Mytilus edulis: one gene and its partner. The protein of the gene in region 1 binds, or shares a complex with, the protein of each later gene. Links are inferred from orthologs where the notes say so. Each region holds a gene or a part of one and is shown in the gene's direction. Other genes may lie near its edges. The genes, in order: NADH dehydrogenase [ubiquinone] iron-sulfur protein 3, mitochondrial-like; NADH dehydrogenase [ubiquinone] 1 alpha subcomplex subunit 5-like.

The links.
Region 2: the proteins of NADH dehydrogenase [ubiquinone] iron-sulfur protein 3, mitochondrial-like (region 1) and NADH dehydrogenase [ubiquinone] 1 alpha subcomplex subunit 5-like are in contact, whole or in part, in a cryo-EM structure (PDB 8ESW), measured with the Drosophila melanogaster proteins. The link is inferred for Mytilus edulis from reciprocal best matches to the Drosophila melanogaster genes ND-30 and ND-13B. Residues at the interface, in NP_647775.1 of Drosophila melanogaster: Tyr66, Glu69, Cys70, Leu71, Pro72, Lys73, Tyr74, Val75, Gln76, Lys77, Leu89, Ile90, Ala91, Pro92, Glu93, Val96, Pro97, Gln100, Phe101, Asp104, His105, His106, Gln107, Gln109, Val119, Val121, Cys123, Arg124, Asn126, Glu129; in NP_648409.1 of Drosophila melanogaster: Tyr28, Ser43, Tyr44, Tyr47, Thr48, Leu51, Arg55, Cys74, Gly75, Glu79, Gln83, Ala84, Asn86, Glu87, Ile89, Leu90, Lys93, Met94, Trp97, Lys98, Pro99, Trp100, Glu101, Lys102, Leu103, Val104, Gln105, Ala106, Ala107, Pro108.

The regions. Positions count from the first base shown.
Region 1 is NC_092348.1:8,636,364-8,646,336, forward strand, and holds the start of NADH dehydrogenase [ubiquinone] iron-sulfur protein 3, mitochondrial-like, read left to right. Parts: upstream 1-5,071; 5' UTR 5,072-5,137; coding exon 5,138-5,201; intron 5,202-8,357; coding exon 8,358-8,429; intron 8,430-9,912; coding exon 9,913-9,973. UniProt on the Drosophila melanogaster protein: Core subunit of the mitochondrial membrane respiratory chain NADH dehydrogenase (Complex I) that is believed to belong to the minimal assembly required for catalysis. Complex I functions in the transfer of electrons from NADH to the respiratory chain.
Region 2 is NC_092344.1:97,505,316-97,515,303, reverse strand, and holds the start of NADH dehydrogenase [ubiquinone] 1 alpha subcomplex subunit 5-like, read left to right. Parts: upstream 1-5,350; 5' UTR 5,351-5,383; coding exon 5,384-5,443; intron 5,444-9,988.

The DNA.
Region 1 (9,973 bases):
GAAATGGGAAATTGATAATTGGGAAGTTGAAATCGTCCCGTTTATCATAGATTTTCGTGTGAAGTAGTCCATCTGTGTCAATATTGAGGAAAAGATCAAGGTATGAAGCAGTCCTTCTAGTATCAGTAGTATCCTTAATTTCAAGGTTCACGGGGATAAATGAGATGAAAGTATTGGCTGAAATATTGGTTATTCAATGATAGAATCATGAATATATCTAAAATTAAAATTCAAGAATTTTGCAAGGTGCTTTATCTTTTTGTCTTATAGAAGGTTCTGAATGAATTCTGCTTCATACGAGTGCAAAAACAAATCGGCCAGTAGGGGGTGCACAATTAGTACCCATTGGAATATCAATCCTACAAACTCAACAAATATATTGTCGATCGAAAAGTCCAGCATTTTGATAAAATTATCTTCAGTATATTTTCTGGTAGATTCAGTGCGTTCTTCTCTAAAGATGAATTATTGTAACCTAAAACAAGAAATCTGATCTACGATTCCCATTTTTATAGAAAAAGCTCTGTTTAATGAGATGGTGAAATCGATCTTTCAACTGAGCATGGGGAATAGTAGTGTAAAGCGTAGAAAAATCAAAAGTCTTTATGTTGCTGCAAAATTGAAAAAGATTGTGATCGAAGATTTAAAAGCAGCAGACAACCCTGGTAGAATACATATCATCACAATATTTTTTGAAGCCCATTTTTAACTGTAGAAAGAATAGTAGTCAGTACTTTAGAAAGATATTTAGTCGAACATTTTGATGACCCAGCTATGTATCGTTCTTTTTATGGAGTTTTGTGAAGTTTTGGTATCCAGTATAATGAAAAGATACCTAGTGTTGCCATTATTATAGGACACTGTAAGGCCTTCAACAATGAACAAAACATATATCGTATGTATATAGTCAGTTATTAAATACCCCACCATGATTATTGTGAAACTATTCAATAGAAAAAAAAATCAATTAACGGTTTGATTTAGAGCCAAAACAAATACTAAAAAAAGATATAACAGCTATAACACGTGACAGGAACCATCGACAATCAATGAATTCCAGAGTTCTTGTATTGGACAGGCCCATACTCTAATTTATATCTATGAAAGAATATAGTATGAATTTGAATAATTGAATAGTTGAACATAGATTAAGTTCATTGAAATCTGAAAAACCATTTCAGATAGGGCATAGCAAACAAGTTGGGAAAAGAACACAACGTAAGAAAGGTCAAAGGGAACTGCATGCCCATATTAAGCAATGATACATGTCAAGATGTGTCAATACCCATCTGATTGACGTAACAAGTACTGACGATGATGAAAATAAACTCATCATATATACCAGGATTGATAAGCCAGACTCACGTTTCGTCTACAAAAGACACATCAGTGACGCTCGATTCGAAAAATGTTAAAAAGGTTAAATAAAGTACGAAATTGAAGATCATTGAGGACCAATAATTCATAAAAGTTTTACCAAATACAGCTAAGGTAATCTAATCCTGAGGTAGAAAAGCCTTAGTATTTCAAACAAAACTTCAAAGTTTTGTTAACAGTCAATTCATAATTATGAACATACCAATGATAACTCAAGTCAACACGGAAGTGCTGACTACTGGGCTGGTGATACTCTTGGGGATTGGGGACTTAAAACTCCACCAGCAGTGGCATCGACCCAGTGGTTGTAAATGAACTCATCATAAATACCAGGATTGAAATGTTATATTAACGCCAGACGCGCGTTTCGTCTACAAAAGACTCATCAGTGACACTCGAATCGAAAAAAGTTAAAAAGGTCAAATAAAGTACGAAATTGAAGAGCATTGAGGACCGAAAATTCCTAAAAGTTTTGCCAAATACAGCTAAGGTAATATATTCCTGAGATAGGTGAACTTGGTAGTACGTAGACATTGCAAGGGTACCATATATACTACAATCAAATATAGTTTAAAATAAGCAATAGATATACCTTCTGTTTACAAGGTATGGAACATGCAGGTCATCTTGAATCGCCGGCGAGACAAAACGACCTGTCATGTGGTCTCTGGATTACTAGTATATATGCGGTTGATGGACTATAAATCTAACTGTGAACAAATTAATACTACACCTTACTTTTACCATATATTTAACATTGTCTGCAAGCGTTTGTTAAAAATTATTGCTTTGCAGAACCCTCTTCATGTCGATGTTCCTTATATTAACTGAATTTCACGATTTCTTCTTCTCAAAAAATCATTCGTAGAAATTGATTAATGTGCGGATTCAATTTAAAAAAAACCTTGTTTTTAATCTACATTTTGGTTTTATAACTTTGACCCTTCAGTAATCCCCTTTTTATTCATTTGTAGGACTTTTCATTTCTTTAAAGCAAACATATACTCAGAACTGCTATTTCAATCCATGCTGCTCTTCATTTTACACGTCAAGTTATTGAACAAAAAGAACAAATTTCACGAAAAGATAATCAATCGTTTACTCAGACAATGACGAACACCTTCTATCAAAAGACGGCATTTTTAGGGGCAACTTACAAATGTTATTACCAATAAAAAGACAACATATAAGTTTACTTGAATAACGTGTGTTATTTTGTTGACACTATCTTCTACTATTATCTACTACTTGGAAAAGTGCAGACCAAATATGTCATTTACAAACACAAAAAATTTGCTTAGAAATTGTAGAAGCCAATAACCTAATATGCATGCACATGATTATATAGATGATTTCTATGATAATCACATCTAAAATGCACAATGTTACAAGGAGTTTTTAACTTTTGTTGCGTATTCTTAATAACAAAGTTTCGAAAAAAATGATGTCACGTATGGGAAATAACATTGGATTACATAGCAAGGGATGACGTTATATACCAATGAGACAGCAACCCGAACCACAGATAACCTAACTCACTCAGAGGTTAATATTTAGTCCAACATTAGACAGCAACCCAAAACACAGATAACCTAACTCACTCAGAGGTTTATATTTAGTCCAACATTAGACAGCAACCCAAAACACAGATAATCTAACTCACTCATAGGTTAATAGTTAGTCCAACATTAGACAGGAACCCAAAACACAGATAACCTAACTCACTCAGAGGTTAATACATAGTCCAACATTAGACAGCAACCCAAAACACAGATAACCTAACTCACTCAGAGGTTAATAGTAAGTCCAACATTAGACAGGAACCCAAAACACAGATAACCTAACTCACTCAGAGGATAATACATAGTCCAACATTAGACAGCAACCCAAACCACAGATAACCTAACTCACTCAGAGGTTAATATTCAGTCCAACATTAGACAGCAACCCAAAACACAGATAACCTTACTCACTCAGAGGTTAATACATAGTCCAACATTAGTCAGCAATCCAAAACACAGATAACCTAACTCACTCAGAGGTTAATATTTAGTCCAACATTAGACAGCAATCCAAAACACAGATAACCTAACTCACTCAGAGGTTAATATTTAGTCCAACATTAGACAGGAACCCAAAACACAGATAACCTAATTCACTCAGAGGTTAATACATAGTCCAACATTAGACAGGAACCCAAAACACAGATAACTTACTCACTCAGAGGTTAATACATAGTCCAACATTAGACAGGAACCCAAAACACAGATAACCTAACTCATTCAGAGGTTAATACATAGTCCAACATTAGACAGCAACCCAAAACACAGATAACCTATCTCACTCAGAGGTCAATACATAGTACAACATTAGACAGAAACCCAAAACACAGATAACTTAACTCACTCAGAGAATAACATTTGGTCCAACATTAGACAGGAAACCAAAAGACAGATAACCTAACTCACTCAGAGGTCAATACATAGTCCAACATCAGACAGGAACCCAAAACACAGATAACCTAATTCACTCAGAGGTTTATACATAGTCCAACATTAGACAGGAACCCAAAACACAGATAACCTAACATACTCAGAGGTCAATACATAGTCCAACATTAGACTGGAACCCAAAACACACATAACCTCACTCACTCAGAGGTCAATACATAGTCCAACATTATATATATAGACAAGCAATTGCATTACTCAATAAAACTTATCTTTCATGATAACACGTGGTCCCACAATAAAGTGCACAAGTGAATCAATTAAACAAAATTATAAAATTCATTTTTTATGATCATAGCTAAAAATGTAATTATATTGAATGCTTCTTTTTGTAACTTCATAGGGTTGTAATAGCGTTGACCGTGCGCACATTTTTAGAAATACAAAATGTACTTCGGTCAACGCTTTTACACACCAATGAAGTTACGAAAAGAAGCATTCAATTCTTAAATAATGTATTATATGTAAATTGACTTGATCAGCCTAATTGTAGTAAATGTAATAATAACATCATAGTGTTTCCGTTTACAGAAGAAGATAAAACAAATGTATTTCTGTTCAAAGGGAGAAAAGTGCTGCTTGTTCTACTGTATATTTAACGTATAGACAATAGACAATATTTCATTAAGCACAAACACATTTACATTAAATGGTTATGGCATACAAAATTAAGACAATAAACTGACAATAGTTAAATTGATTATAATTATATTAGAGTGACAGTGGTATTCACAGCAAGAAGAAAAAGACTATAAATATCAACAGTTAACCCATTATTAATTTTCATGAACAATTAAAAAAAGAACACAAACAAAAATTAGGTTGCATATTAAAAGAAATACAAGTTATACAGATGTTCTCAATAAAAAACAATCATTAATATACTTTATGGTGATTTTTTTAATGACTGGTAGACTGCTATTTAAAAGTGCAGTCAAATGCTTCAGTGTTATAGTGGACTGCAATTTAATAAAATTGAAATTAAAATGTTTATTTATATTTTGTATATAGGTATCCCTCAATGATGTATAACATGGTATAACAGTTTGCCTGGCCTTTATATATATATATATATATATATTCCTCATAAAAACTGAATTAATTTATAAACAACGAATAATAGCCGTACTAAAAATGACCGTTTGATTTCTTTATTGCAAACATTTTAGATCGGTGCCTTGTCAGACCTTTACACGACACAATTTTTCTAGTTTCTCTCCCCGCATGTTTTATCCCCTAAGAAGGTCAAAATGGCGAGTCGATTTTGTCGACTTTTCCGACCTGCTGTAGTAACAAAGTTGTACCGAACACACTGTATGTGAAAATGAATTTAATAACAATTGGTTTTATGAAATATTTTTGACGATTTGAGTACGCTAGACAGCGGAACTTTAGCCTTCCTTATAACATATCTTTAATATGTCAGAGTTGAAACTGTCAACTGCCCTGGTCAAGTTATATTTTTTGACAATTTTTGTAACAAAGATAAATTGTCATAAAATTTCATTTTTGGTCAGCAACTGCCAAAGTTTATCAAAAGGACCTAACAGCTATGGTTCCATAGCTATCTATGATGGGGGTCTCATTTGGGGGTTCCGATCCTGGATCCCGCTTACTGTTTTGTCAGATTTCCGTATCCCGCTTACACTATGTACGTAAGCAATTCTCATTTTTTTTTGTCATTTCCCTGGTCCTGCTAGACCTCATTTCCCGTTTTCATGACACAATAATCATGATAATTTGACTTTCACATGTCACGTTTACAAAAAATCGGTGATCCCGTGTCACGCTTGGACCCCAATGAGACCCACTAATGCTCAGAATAATTGTCAAAAAGTAACATAATAATTACATTAGAACCACATATAGTCCCAGATAACTCTGACTTCCAACAGCTGTTTTGCCAGACAGGCTGGGGCCGTGGGACGTCAGAGCTCGTCCCATATCAAAAACTGGATATTTGCCCATCCAAAATAGATGCACTGCTTTGTCGCTTCTGGTGCCAACTAACGGCCTTGGAATTAATATATAAAATGGGTATCAATTAGATCATTTTTCATTTATCTCTTCATTTATGTAAGCTTCACCTACTGGACACCCTTTATTTTTCCATATTTAAACAGTTTTCACAGTTACCCATCGATTCAGACATTTTTACTTTTATTTTCAAAAGGATGTCAGATTATCATGTGACCACGAGAAAAAAGTGATGATTTATATCAAATGACCATAATCGAAATCCTCCGACCTCGTTCATTTACGATGCAAGTAATCTAAATGTTTGAGAGCTTCCGATTGTTATTGTGCAGTGATCTGGAAGGATTTTTTCTCTATGGGCCCAGGGCCCCTCAAAATTAAATTCAAGGGGCCATTTAAAAAAATAATGGGCCATGTCAAATGAATGGGCCATTTGAATCGACTACAGTGAAAAAAGTGAAAAGTGTATATCTCGGCAAAGAGATGGTGGTACTTACCTTTATGATTTTAAATAATATTATAGATATTGTGCCTGTGATTTTGTTATTTCAATTCAACAAAGAATGTAAAATAATTTCTTCCAAACCAGATAATATTTAAGATATCCTTTATTTACAATGTTTCTACTGCTACTGTTGTCTTGTTCATGTGCATGGGTTTTTTTTTTACATTAAATTTGGGTCTTCGTCGATTCCATACTTATTCCCGACGTTCCGTATTAGAGGACGTATTTGGCATTTCCTCTGCACTTCTTGTATTATTATTACTTCATCACGATGACAACAATAACATTAGAGAGTATCATTAATTGATAAAACAAAGCAACAATTCGCTGAAGGCATGTTTACAAAATGTCAAAACAAGCCAAAGACCAAAAAGTGACAAGGACAGTTAGTTGCCTTTTATGGAGACAAAAACTATATTCATAAAAAGGCTTTGGGGTTTTTTCAATCGAAATAGTAGCAAGCTGAACTAAGTTAAAAGATAATAATTAGAGACAAATATCGTCTGTACTAGCCAAATTTTACAAATTTAAGGTTGTAAAAAATCATATCATGAATGATGGTTAATTACGTTTTTTGGGTAATCAGTTACACCCCATGGTTCTATTATTTCCATAGGAAAACACACGAGACGTCCCAAAAATATATAGGTGCTCCTATCATTGGAGGAACATTACACAGTTGTGTACACACACATGGCGGCACGGAACACGATCGGAAATCCATTTGACGATATCTAAACTTATCGAAACGAAGTGAAAAATATCGTGCGCCACGTGGGCGCTTACATACATTGTAAGTCACTCTATGCGCCATTTCTGGTCGATATGCGCTATAGGCGCACGACCTTCCCGATCACTGATTGTGGTTGGCACTAAATGCTTAATACCAATCTCCTGTAAAGGAGGTGAAAAAATCGTGTTTGGCTACTGAATGTTAAACATTGATCTCCTATAAAGGAGTTGAAAAAAGTATAAATATTTGTATATTTGAGTCTCGAGGTCGCAAAATCTCTCGTAACTTGACATCCTTTAGAAAATAAAAGTAAAAATATCTGAATTGATGGGTCAATGTGAAAACTTTCAATATGGAAAAATAAAGGGTTGCAGGTAGGTGAGGCTTACATTTTGTACATAAATGAAGAGATAAACAAAAAATGAACAAATTGATACCTGTTTTATATTATTTCAAGGCCATTAGTTGGCACCAGAAGCAATGAAGCAGCGCATCTACATGTATTTTTGGATGGGCAAATATCCACTTTTTGATATGGGACAAGCAGTGATGTCCCACGGCCCCAGCTTGTCTGGCAAAACAGCCGTTGGATGTCAGGGTAATCTCGGACTAGGCCTAACATGGACCGAATTCTTCTGTCATAGGACTAAACTTCTTCCCATTTCAGTGTTCCTCGTTAATACTATTCAAAAATATATTTACCATGTTTACAGATTTGCACTTACTGTTTCTTTTGACAGTCTATACGTAGAAACAGATGAAATACTCTGTCCACTTACATGTAGTTACACCCTTTAACTCAACTAGTTTTGTGTAGATGTCTATTGTCCTTTCTCAGCACAGTAGTGATATGAAAAATTATCGCTAAAAACTATGCTCAGCTCACATGCCCATGTCAATATAAACATCAACATCGTCATAGATAAAATAGCAATAAACAGATTATCATTGATCATCTCAACTAGTAAATAGGTTTTGTCACTTTACCTTTTAGAACCTTTTTACTTCACAAGTTATTGAATTTTTGAAAAATATAATCCAGTGAACAAAAATTTTCAAATTGGAAAATTAGTATGTTGTTTAGAATAAAATAGTATTATACAGTTATACTAAGAGCTATTTTAATACTTTGTTATCTGTTTTAAATTTTGTTTGACCTTGAATATCTGTTGAAATTTCACATTTTAGAAGCAAAAATTAACAAAATACACACACAAGAATTTTACTTTATTGAACATTAATTTTTCTTTTTTAGTACTAAAAGCTAATCCAGTTGTTGCACAGTGTCAGAGATTACAGACAACAGATTCTACAAACCAAACATCTCGTAATTATTATTTTTACTGTTAAAGGGAAAAGTTTTTTTGGGGTTTTAATTTTGATTATTATGAGTAACATAATTTATGTAATATTTTTTAAATTAGTCTGAAATTAGTTGACTATATATATGACATTTGAAAATAAAACCAGAAATAACTTTTGACTTAATTTTAAAAATATTATATTTATATAACCATGATAACCTGCTGTAGACTGAGAAGTATTCCTTATGAAACCACACAAAATTAAACTTGATTATAGGAATTAAATGGGATTTGTGAATTATGTGAAATGAAAGAAAAAAATAATGGATAGGATAAGCTGGTTTAAATGTATTTTGAGATACAAATGTAGTATACAATAAAACATCACCAACATACATCATATATATATATAAGACCATAGGATTGTTGCATGTTTATATGGTATAAGTTTACCACAAACTCTCTTGTCAAGTTTTAAAAGAAAAGTTTTTATGATAATTGTTTTCCATTTGGCATGATAACTGCAAAAATTTATATATTGTAAATATTACTAGTACTGTAACTGTTCATTTTCTTCTCACAATTTGTGTCTATTTGGTTATATTTTGAACATTTCTAGTAAAAGCTATAGAAAAAATAAATATTATTAAAGTGTATGGTGTTTTTTGATTCATTGGATATGAATAAGCAAGGATATTAGCACTGCCATTAGTTTCTGGACCTATGGCCATCATGGCCGATGATCAGGATATGAAAATATGGATAATCAAAAAGAAAGTAGCCCATTTATAAAACATGTCAAATAATCTTATAAAGTGACTGTGAAGGCAAAATTAGTCATCAGCTGTCTTGAAATGAATTTTATATGACAATAAAACTTTCATTTTTGAAAAATCCACAGGACCCAAAATGTGAAACTAAACTAACTGTGTATTGCTACCCAAATATCTTTGCAAATTGTTAGGTTTATAAAAAAAATGATTGGGTAAAATTTAACCAATTTCACATGTTGAATCATATAAACATGATTAACTTTTGAAATTGTTTAAAAAAAATGTGAAATGTAAAAAAAAAATCTTACATAGGTACACTGAACACCTCAGAGTCAAAACAGACATTCAAATGAGATATAAAGCACACACATACTCAGATATAAAGCACACACATACTCAGATATAAAGCACGCACATACTCATTCAAATGAGATATAAAGCACACTCATACTCATTCAAACAATATAGTAGCAGATTCAAAACACTTATGACAATATAAGAGAAGCATAAGATCCTATCAAACTTTAGATCCCCAATGGAAAAAGTTGGCAGATATGCATAATTAATCTGTTATTAATATTGAACTTAAATAATAATTGTAATTTACAAAAAAATGAAAATACTCATGATAATATGTTGAAACAGTCTATAATAATATTTGACCCCTTGGATATATTTAGTCCTAGACTTGGTGAAATCAGAAGCATAATTTAAATAATCTTGTATATTTCAGCCACAGTGAGACCTCAGAACTTACCCTACAGGCAGCAGTTGAAAGATTTTGGGCAATATGT
Region 2 (9,988 bases), on another chromosome or scaffold:
AATTGCATAAAAGATGTATTACCATCAGTCGAATCAAATTTGAATTATCTGCATTGTCATTAAGTTTCCATTAACTTTTCCAGTTTTCTCTTTCATTGAATCAAGCATATTAAATTTCCCATTATTTGTACAGAACACATTTTATATTATTTTCCAAACTTATTTTGAATGACAATAAAGATAAATTTTCTGATTTGTCATAACTTAATGCCCACTGAAGTTTTTTATTTTCTTCCCAATATTGTAAAGAATCTATGGCTGTATTGCTTTAATTTTGGTATTTTAGGTTGAAAACAGAAAACATTGTAAATGTTCGATCTATCATTCAATTAAAGCACAAAAAATCATTCAAGTTCTTGAACTATTTGTTTTTATAAACTGTTTCAAATAAATTTGGTCCATGTTGTCCATATTTTTAGGGGGAAAAATCCATAAGCAACAAATTAATTTAGTGAGGCCTTGGCCAGATGAATCAACAAATTGATAATTTCTTGTGACATTGCATCTGTTGCTAGGTGATGTCTTGAGGTATAATAAACCAAAACCTGTTCAAATTATTAAAATTGGCAAACGTTGAATGATATTTGTGGGAAGTAAGAGCCAGGTTTAAAAGGAGTAAGATTCATTAGGCCCTTATATTTCCAACTAATTTTCAAAAAGAGGCTCCAGATACCAAAGTGACATTCAAATTATTGAGTGGAAAAATACAGAGGCGGATTTAGGGGGGGGGGGGTAAACAGGCCCCCCCCCCCCTTTTTGGAAAAAAAATTGGTTGCTTATATAGGGAATCACTGAAGCCTGACTGGAGCGGGGCCCCTCTTAGGTCAGTCAGTGGGCCCCCACTTATGAAAATTTCTGGATCCGCCACTGAAATAAACTGATGACATTATGACAAAAATAGTAAGACTTATAATGGTGTCATAATAATCAAAATAACTGTTCCCCCATATTCAATAATACATAAAAATTAAGAATGCACATTCCCTTGGGTTTTTTGGCCAGAAATATAAAGGATATGTGTCAGCAACAAATCTTTTTCAACATTATGCTTGTTAAAACAAATGAACTATCTCACAAAATGAACCTACACTCTATGTTTCCTTAATTATGGTTTAAATTAAGAAGCTACTGTAATACTTCTCAAAAATCTTCGTGAAAAATAGAAAAACTTTGTAAGAAAAACTTTATAAAGATAGTCCCATTTTATCTCTCACTCATATATATACAAATATATTCTTTTCAACTTGAAATCCCTGAAATGTCCAGAAAGGACCCTTCTTACAATTGTTTGGATTGTTCACATGGGGGGGGGGGGGGGGGGGTTACTATTTGCTGGGTTTAATATCCATACAAACCTGAGGTTGTCTCTGAGTTCTTATGGAAAGTAAACCAGGCAAATAGTAACAAACCCCTTTTGATTGTTTAATGAATTTTGAAGCCCTCAAAACCTTAAGTTATCAAAGAATGGTTTTATATAAATCCACTGATAAAATTTCTTGAAAAAAGAAGTTAAAGGTACCGGTATGCAACCTTGTCCATTTGGAATGTAAAAGTGAAATGGAGTTGCAAAGGTTTTTCAAGCCAAAAACAACTATATGCATGTCAAGAGTGAGCTATTATAGTATGCATGCAGTGTTTTTATAATGGCCCTGTTATATATCCAAGGTCTGTAATAATGGTTGAGAAAGTCTGTAATGGCCCAATAAATTAACAGTGGCGGATCCAGACCTTTCCATAAGTAGGGCCCGCTGACTGACTTAAGGGAGGGGGCCTGGCCCACTTCAGTCATGCTTCTGTTATTCCCTATATAATCAACAAAATTTTCCCACAAAAGGGTGGGCCCGGGGCCCCCCAGCCCCCCTTCTGAATCTGTTTATTTTTTACCTTTAAAATGTTTTTATAGTTGGCTAAAATATCCTGTGCTGATTGGTAAATAATCGGTGTTGTGACATCTGATTTGATTTGAAATAACAAAAAAGACTTTTGCCAAGATAAGTGACGGGATTTCTTGTAAAGATTTTTCAATAAAAAAGTTATTTTACAATATATTTCAAATATTATTTTATTTTGTTTAATTTGAACAATTACTCAATAATATAATTTTAATTTTAAGAATTACCATAAATATTTCATGATTCATATGCATAACATGGGTACTTATAGTAAAAAATAAAAATAAAATAAATTATAAAAACAACAACATATAAATTGCATGTTAAAATAATAACATAATAGTTATCATGTCATACCATTATTATTGGTCTCATAAATCTTAATAATTGAATAGCAGAAACAAGTTCTCATAGAATATTGGTATAGATCAATGTCTGCAATCTTATAAAGTATCATGCCATAGTTTCATCAATAGAATTCATAGATTTTTACCAATACCATCTGAATATGCAGTAATAGTCTGTCATAATATCATTTAAGGTGAATCATTGATTTCCTTGTAGAATTTCTAATTTTCATCCTGATATTACATCTGCTATCAACAATTTACATAAATAAATAATTAAAAACACTCTTTTTCTAATGTTTACAAAAAATAATGCATATTTTGGGATTTTTTTATGCATAAATGACAAAATAAAATTGCACCTTATTTTTAGGTGCTTTGTAGCAAATGTGTAGCATATTGTTTTACTTACATGTATAATATGGCATGGTTTTGGATATCAATAAAGGTATCCAGGAATTTGTACTGTAAGCCTGCAGGAAGCTGGCTGGATTATTCCATATCCTAAAGAAAGGGAAAACAAGACAAAAAGATCAATAATATGTCCCATTGATTATTAGTTATTATTTAATGAGGTATTGTAAAGTAAAATTGATCTAATGTGTGATATAGAATTATATAAAAATAACCAGTAAATAGTATCAATCAATATTGGAAATTTAGAAAACAATTTCAAACAATTTAAGCACAAAATTTCGGTTATTTGCAATCAATATATGTGCCATAAAATATTTCTGTTAATGTTTCAATCACGGTAACAAAATGCAGTTCTCCAATAACAATAACATAATTTCCTTAAATAATTAGTTGTTTAAACAAATAAGTAAACGAATTTTTTTTAAAATAAATAAACAAATATCTTATAAATTTTTTTTTTTTTAAATTTAACAAAACATTAACACTATACTGATTATAAAATTTAAAGGGGCACCAGCTGTCAAATTCATGGTCAACAATTTGACTCAAGTTCTCATATTTGATTTATAACAATGTAAAACATTTATCTAAATTATCAAAAGTCTAAAATAAACAGTTTACAGAGCATGGGGTAGATAATATATAGGTTCGTTTCGAGTGTATTTTAGTCCAGACGCCATCTAATTAACTCTCAATTTGACCTCAGATGACCATATAAGCGATGTAAACATAAATAAAGATATGAATAGATTAAACCAATATGTGCAATTGGATTTTTATAGGTCTGTTTGATTTTATTTTATAGATTAAAAATAGATGTTTCTCATTGCTTTTAATCGTATAAGAATGATTTTATGTGCATCGAATTAGTAATCAAATGAATTACTGTAGTTTCACTTTCATTGTTGACATTCTTTTTCTTTAAATAACCAAGTACACGTACAATGCATGTGTTGTCAATCTCTAGCAAGAGGTTAAATTGAAGTTCACATGAATACGGATTTAAAGAGGTTGACTCATTCACTTGCAAGTGAATAACTAATTATCAATGTTTTTTAGCGTAATTTGACAAAATTGAACCTTTTTGGCTGCAAAAAGCGAATTGTTATTTCACTTTCATTATTGATTGAACAAAAAAAATCAAACTTTAGACTTTTTATATATCTTATAGCTAGTGCCCCTTTAAATTTTACAATGATTTTACATCACAGAAAAGAGATAAAATTATTTTAACCAGGTGCTCCGCAGGGCGTAGCTTTATACGACCCCAGTGGTCGAACCCTGAACAGTTGGGGCAAATTTGGTCACAATATTCAAGCTCGATACTGTCTGAATTTTGAATGTGATCAAATTTTTGACATAATATAGATTTTTGCCACAATTAATTAATGTGGCTCAAGATCTAACACATCTATTGCACAATACTGTGCAATTGAATATTTATTATTGAAACTTTTCAAAATTTGAAAAATGTTGAAAAAAAAAAAAAAAAAATCCCTTAAAAAAATGGTAAACTGAGACCCCCGCCCCCCAATTTATTGAAACCTCCCCCTTGGAGAAATAACCCTTAAACTCAATACCATGCTTTCCTTTGTAATATTGAACCTTGTAGTACAATTTCAGAGAGATCCATACACTTAAACACAAGTTATTGTCATGATTGTTTGGAAACTAGAAACATGCTTCTTTTTGGCCCTTAATTCCTAAACTTTGGCCCCATAACCCCTTAAATGAATCCAAACCTTCTACTTGTGATTTTAAACATTGCAGTATACTTTCAGAGCAATTGAAATACTGGTAAACAAGTTATTATCCTGAAACTAGAAAAATGCTTGTTTTGGCCCCTTTTGGGCCCCTAATTCCTAAACGGTTTGGACCATCATCCCCAAAATAAATCCCAACCTTCATTTTGTGGTATTGAACCTTCTGAAAAAAAATCATTAAGATCTATTCACTTAAACTAAAGTTATTATCGGGAAACCAAAGTGTCTTCGGACGACAACAACGCAGACAACGCTGACGACGCAGACGACGACATCATACCATTATACGAACCCAAAATTTTTTTGGGGTCGTATAAAAAATAGTGTTAACAAAAAGGAACTTAGTTTCTGTGTCATTTGGTCTCTTTTGAAGAGTTGTCTCATTGGGCAATCATTAACCTCATTTTCTTATTCCTATATTGTAAATTGATCAAAGACTTTAATGGCCAGGTATTTGAGACTGTTCTTTAACAAAGAAGAAAGGTCTTCATTAATCTATTTTCTCGCTGCATTGAAGACCCAATAATGGCCTTCAGCTGTTATCTGCTCTTTGGTTAGGTTGTTGTTTCTTGTCATATTCCCCATTGCCATTCTCAAAGAAAGGTCTTCACTAATATTTAATAAATTGAGAATGGCAATGGGATAATGACATCAGACATCGAGTTACTCGATTTGCCCTTGAAGAATAAACAATAGTCAATACCAGAGACATATAAATACAGTATACATGTCTCTGTCACTACGTAGTGCAGTTTGTTCCCATTGTTAAATTGTGAGCATTTTTCTGACTAATGATTTTCATCAGTAAATTGGTTATTACTATTTTGTTTGCTTATTTCTTCCATAGTCGGTTCAAGTGGTTAATTCTAGATGACAGTTCGTAGTAACTGAGTATTGTACGTCGGTAAGAAAGTTGTTGATCAAAATCATTAATATGGCGGGAAAACCGTGAAAAGATAGAAAAATGCTGAGATGTTCCGAAATATATAAACTTCCGGTAGAAATGGCAGGCTACCTGAAAAAAGTAAATTATATGTAGTTTAGGCGATAAGCAATGATTGTACATTGAATTATTTTTTATATATACCTTGTCTGATAGAGACTCTCATTTTTGACTCGAATTTACAAGGAAAAATATAATGACTTGACTAAACGTAAAAGTCCATTTATTTGAAGCAGAAAGATGTGTCCTTGAGAAGTTATTTAATATTTTCTTATTTTGTCAAACATTTGGAAACATCTAAACGTACACTTACAAAAACTAGCATATTAAGAGGTTTTAACAAAACTGTAAGCCAAAAAAGTGTCCCATGAAATTGTGTCCTCTAGAACATTATTTCACAGTTCATCTGTGAAATTTTGTTCATGGGACAGAATATCACATTTTTTAACTATAAAATCGTGTCCCCCTAGGTGAAAAATTGTCCCTAGTACTTGCACATAATTTCATGGATGTTTTATAAAAATATGTCACAAAAGACAATATTTCATAGTGTAGCTATTTTTTTCTGTCCCTAAAGAAGGGAAATAATTTAGCAATCATTGAAATGTTTTAATCAATTAGTTAAATCATAATTGAAATTTAAATAAAGACAACACAGATGTAAACAAAAATGGAAAGTGGTGAATATAAACAGCTATATGACTTTCTGTGTGATGATCAATACCCTCCAGAGTTTGAAAATAATGATAGAAGATCATTTAGAAGGAAGGTAAAGCAGTTTCAAATTAAAAGCAATGAAATGTATTATATACATGTTGACAAAAAAAACACAAGAGAAAACATTAAAACTTGTAATTCAAAGATGTTAAAACATCATGATTTCATTATGAAAAAATGTCCAACGAAGGTCACAATAGAATCTCTTGTCAAGGGACACTTTTACATAGAAGGGGACAATATTCTATAATAAAATTATGTCCTGGACCAAATTTCATAGGTTATATCTGTGAAATTTTGTCCATGGGACATCATTTCATGGGGGACACTATTTAATCCTACTTTACCTGTGAAAGGGGACGAAATTCACAAAACTTCGGAAAACTTTATATCTCATGTACATCATACAGTCATGACAGTGTATGTATAAACATTTATAGTAAAAATATGTTGCAGCCAAGGATCCGGAAATTGTTTCACCTAATTTCGGTCATTTTGGATAACTTAAAGTTGGTGCCCTTTTTCAAACAAAGATTGTGTGTATGCTCATACAGTCATACTCGTAGCATTAACGAACTTGTTTAACTGTTGCATCGCATTTACTTCAGAAATTTCCCTACCATTTTCCTTAAAATCGATCTTGAGCAATAAAAGGAAGGCAACAGTTTAAAAATGAAATGATTTTAATGACTCAAAACGATAAATTTATCAAACTTCGCTTACGTTTCTTTCGATTTGGAAGCCAAAATTATAACCGGATGTTTTACGACAATAGTAAAACGACCAATTCCGGACTCATTTCCGGGATAAGTTTTGTTTAAATTCACAGGAAATCGTCGGCTTTTTAACTGTTTTACCTTTAATAGTGTTTGAATATTAATTATAATAGTTGGACTTGTTTAATTTAGCATGAAATCATTTTGAATTTACGATTTAGTGTCTAATTTGCGGAATAGAATTTCAAGCATGCGTATTAGTAAACAAAGCATGTGTGTTTGTAGTGAAACAATATTTTGTTCTCTGAAATTAATTTAATTTTAATTTAATTTTAAATCAGAATTGACAATTGTCTAAGCTGAGAAAAGTAATAAAATAATGCAGACAGTTGTTATGAACTTTTAATTTCTTTAAATTATTAGTTCTGAGCTCGTGATCAATAAAAAAATTAATTAAAAACACAGGTAAAGAGATTAGCGATCATTAGCCAATATTTCCCAGAGGCATTACTATAGTTATTAGGAGGGCCCTCAGGATTATAACACTTTACTGGAGTGGCAGTTTTATTACAGGAAAAGGATAACAAACAAAAAATAAGTTCAAAATGGCGATTTAGACAATGTTAGAAACTCGATCTCAACGAAATGACATTGAAGACCGAAATTATTTCTGTAAAAAAAATGAAATTTGTCCTAAATCCCAATTACTCATTTAGGACAAAATACTTTCAGTTTAGGTCAAGACTGGCATATATGACCGTTTCCGGACCCTTGGTTGCAGCATAATTTCTGGTATACATGTAGAGTATCTGAATTACTGAAACATATCAGATTTTGGTGCCTAATTTAGGAATTTTATATATGACATCATTTTCATTGTAAGCAGTTGTTGACATGATATGGGTTATGTTCTCATATATTTTATGATGGGTAATACTAAACATCTAACAGGAGGGATTGTGCTTGATATTCTCCGTCTTTTCTTTTCTTTACTGTGCTCGGCTCCTGTGGAGTATTATCAAACAATCAGACTATGCACAGTTTAAATCTGAGTCATTTAATTTGAGACAGACGAAAAGCAGGTTTAAAAACAAGTTGGTCCTTAGAAGTGTACATGCTTATTCTCTCCTTGAACAACTTGAGTTTCAAAAGAACTATACCAGCGGGGAAGAATGAGTCCTGGTAGCTGTATGTGGTATGAGCTACTTGCTGAAATTTCTATGTGTGTCCATTGGTTGTCAGGTAAACCACATGTAGCGATAGTGATGGTATTTTGATCAGTTGGTTGAAGACACAAAATATCATGATGCAGTGGGACTTGTATCTTAATGACTGTAGTTGTTGGAACATTGCTGTTACACTGCTATCTCTCCTGTAGTCATAATGATGAATGTATAGATTCAATGGCTGTCATATGTTGTTTGGTTGAACCGAAGTATTCAATCTGTGGGTGAACTAGTGTCTTGTAGCTTGTTTCTTTGATGTTTTTGGGTAACTGGTTATGTTTCTTCTCAAGAATCCCAAGGAGTTGTTTTACCTTTTTCATGATCTTACTGTCAATTGTAAAGCTTAAGTAGTTCGCCCAATCTGTTATTTGTAAAACATGGCCATGAATGGAATAGTTGTCGTCAGTTATTTTCTGCTAGTAGATTATGCGGATGACTTCACATTTTTCTGGGTTGCAGCTCATCATCCAGTCTTTCTCCCAATATTGCAGTTGGTCATGAGCTTTTTGTAATATCTTGCGAGCCCTCAAGAGGCAATCTTCTGCAATTAGTCTAGTTCAAGACTATGTAGACTTTAGATGGTAGGTCATTTATAGAAATACAATTGTAGTAAATAACTGGGTACTAATAGTTTCACTCCCAGGACTGTTCCTGGCATGGGGCACTCCAAATGTTACAGGAGCTTGCTTTTTGGGGTCAAGAATAAGATTGCAATCAGAGCCATTGCATCCCTATTGTCATTAAAAATACATGTATCTGGTTAGCGATATTTAGCTGTATTGTAAGCCTTTTCTAGATCTGTATCTGTGTTTGTGAGTAAATAAGCATAGTAAAATGGATGTAAATTCTTTACATGTTTGTAGATCCTATTCATGCCCATACATGTATAATATATACTCAGATAGACTAGTTACAATATGATGTGTACATGTAAGTGTTATCACCATACAATGTTGGTACATGTACTTGTGAAGAAAAGTATTTTCTTGAAAACTTACCTAGTTGCAGGCAGTATGTCATACATGTAGATTATGAATTAAACTGCTTTTACCTTCAAATGTGGACTAAGAAAGATAACCCATTTCAAAATATTGCATAATTATATTTCTTTGCTTAAATAATATATATACAATGCAATGTTTAACCTTTCCATTTCAATTCCTGATGAATGCAAATTTTTCCCCCTCAGTGCCTGCAAGTACATTTTACTGTGACTTTCATTTTCACAGCATCACAGCTTGATTTTAAAAAAAATTATCATTGTTTTTCTTGAACATGTAAGAAATCATAATCTTTCAGTCAGTTTAGTTGAAGTCTGGAGCTGGCATGTCAGTTAACTGCTAGTAGTCTGTTGTTATTTATGTATTATTGTCATTTTGTTTATTTTCTTTGGTTACATCTTCTGACATCAGACTCGGATTTCTCTTGAACTGAATTTTAATGTGCGTATTGTTATGCGTTTACTTTACTACATTGGTTAGAGGTATAGGGGGAGGGTTGAGATCTCACAAACATGTTTAACCCCGCCGCATTTTTGCGCCTGTCCCAAGTCAGGAGCCTCTGGCCTTTGTTAGTCTTGTATTATTTTAATTTTAGTTTCTTGTGTACAATTTGGAAATTAGTATGGCGTTCATTATCACTGGACTAGTATATATTTGTTTAGGGGCCAGCTGAAGGACGCCTCCGGGTGCGGGAATTTCTCGCTACATTGAAGACCTGTTGGTGACCCTCTGCTGTTGTTTTTTATTTGGGCGGGTTGTTGTCTCTTTGACACATTCCCCATTTCCATTCTCAATTTTAAGCTATATATATACATGTAGCTAGTAATTAAAGATGACCCAAAACTTCAGGTATCTGCAGTATCCACAAATAAATTGTGAAAAACTTTTAATTTTTAAATCTTGGGATTTTGGAGTGTACCAGAACATGTACAGTGTATATTATTCAAGTTCAGATGACTAAATAAG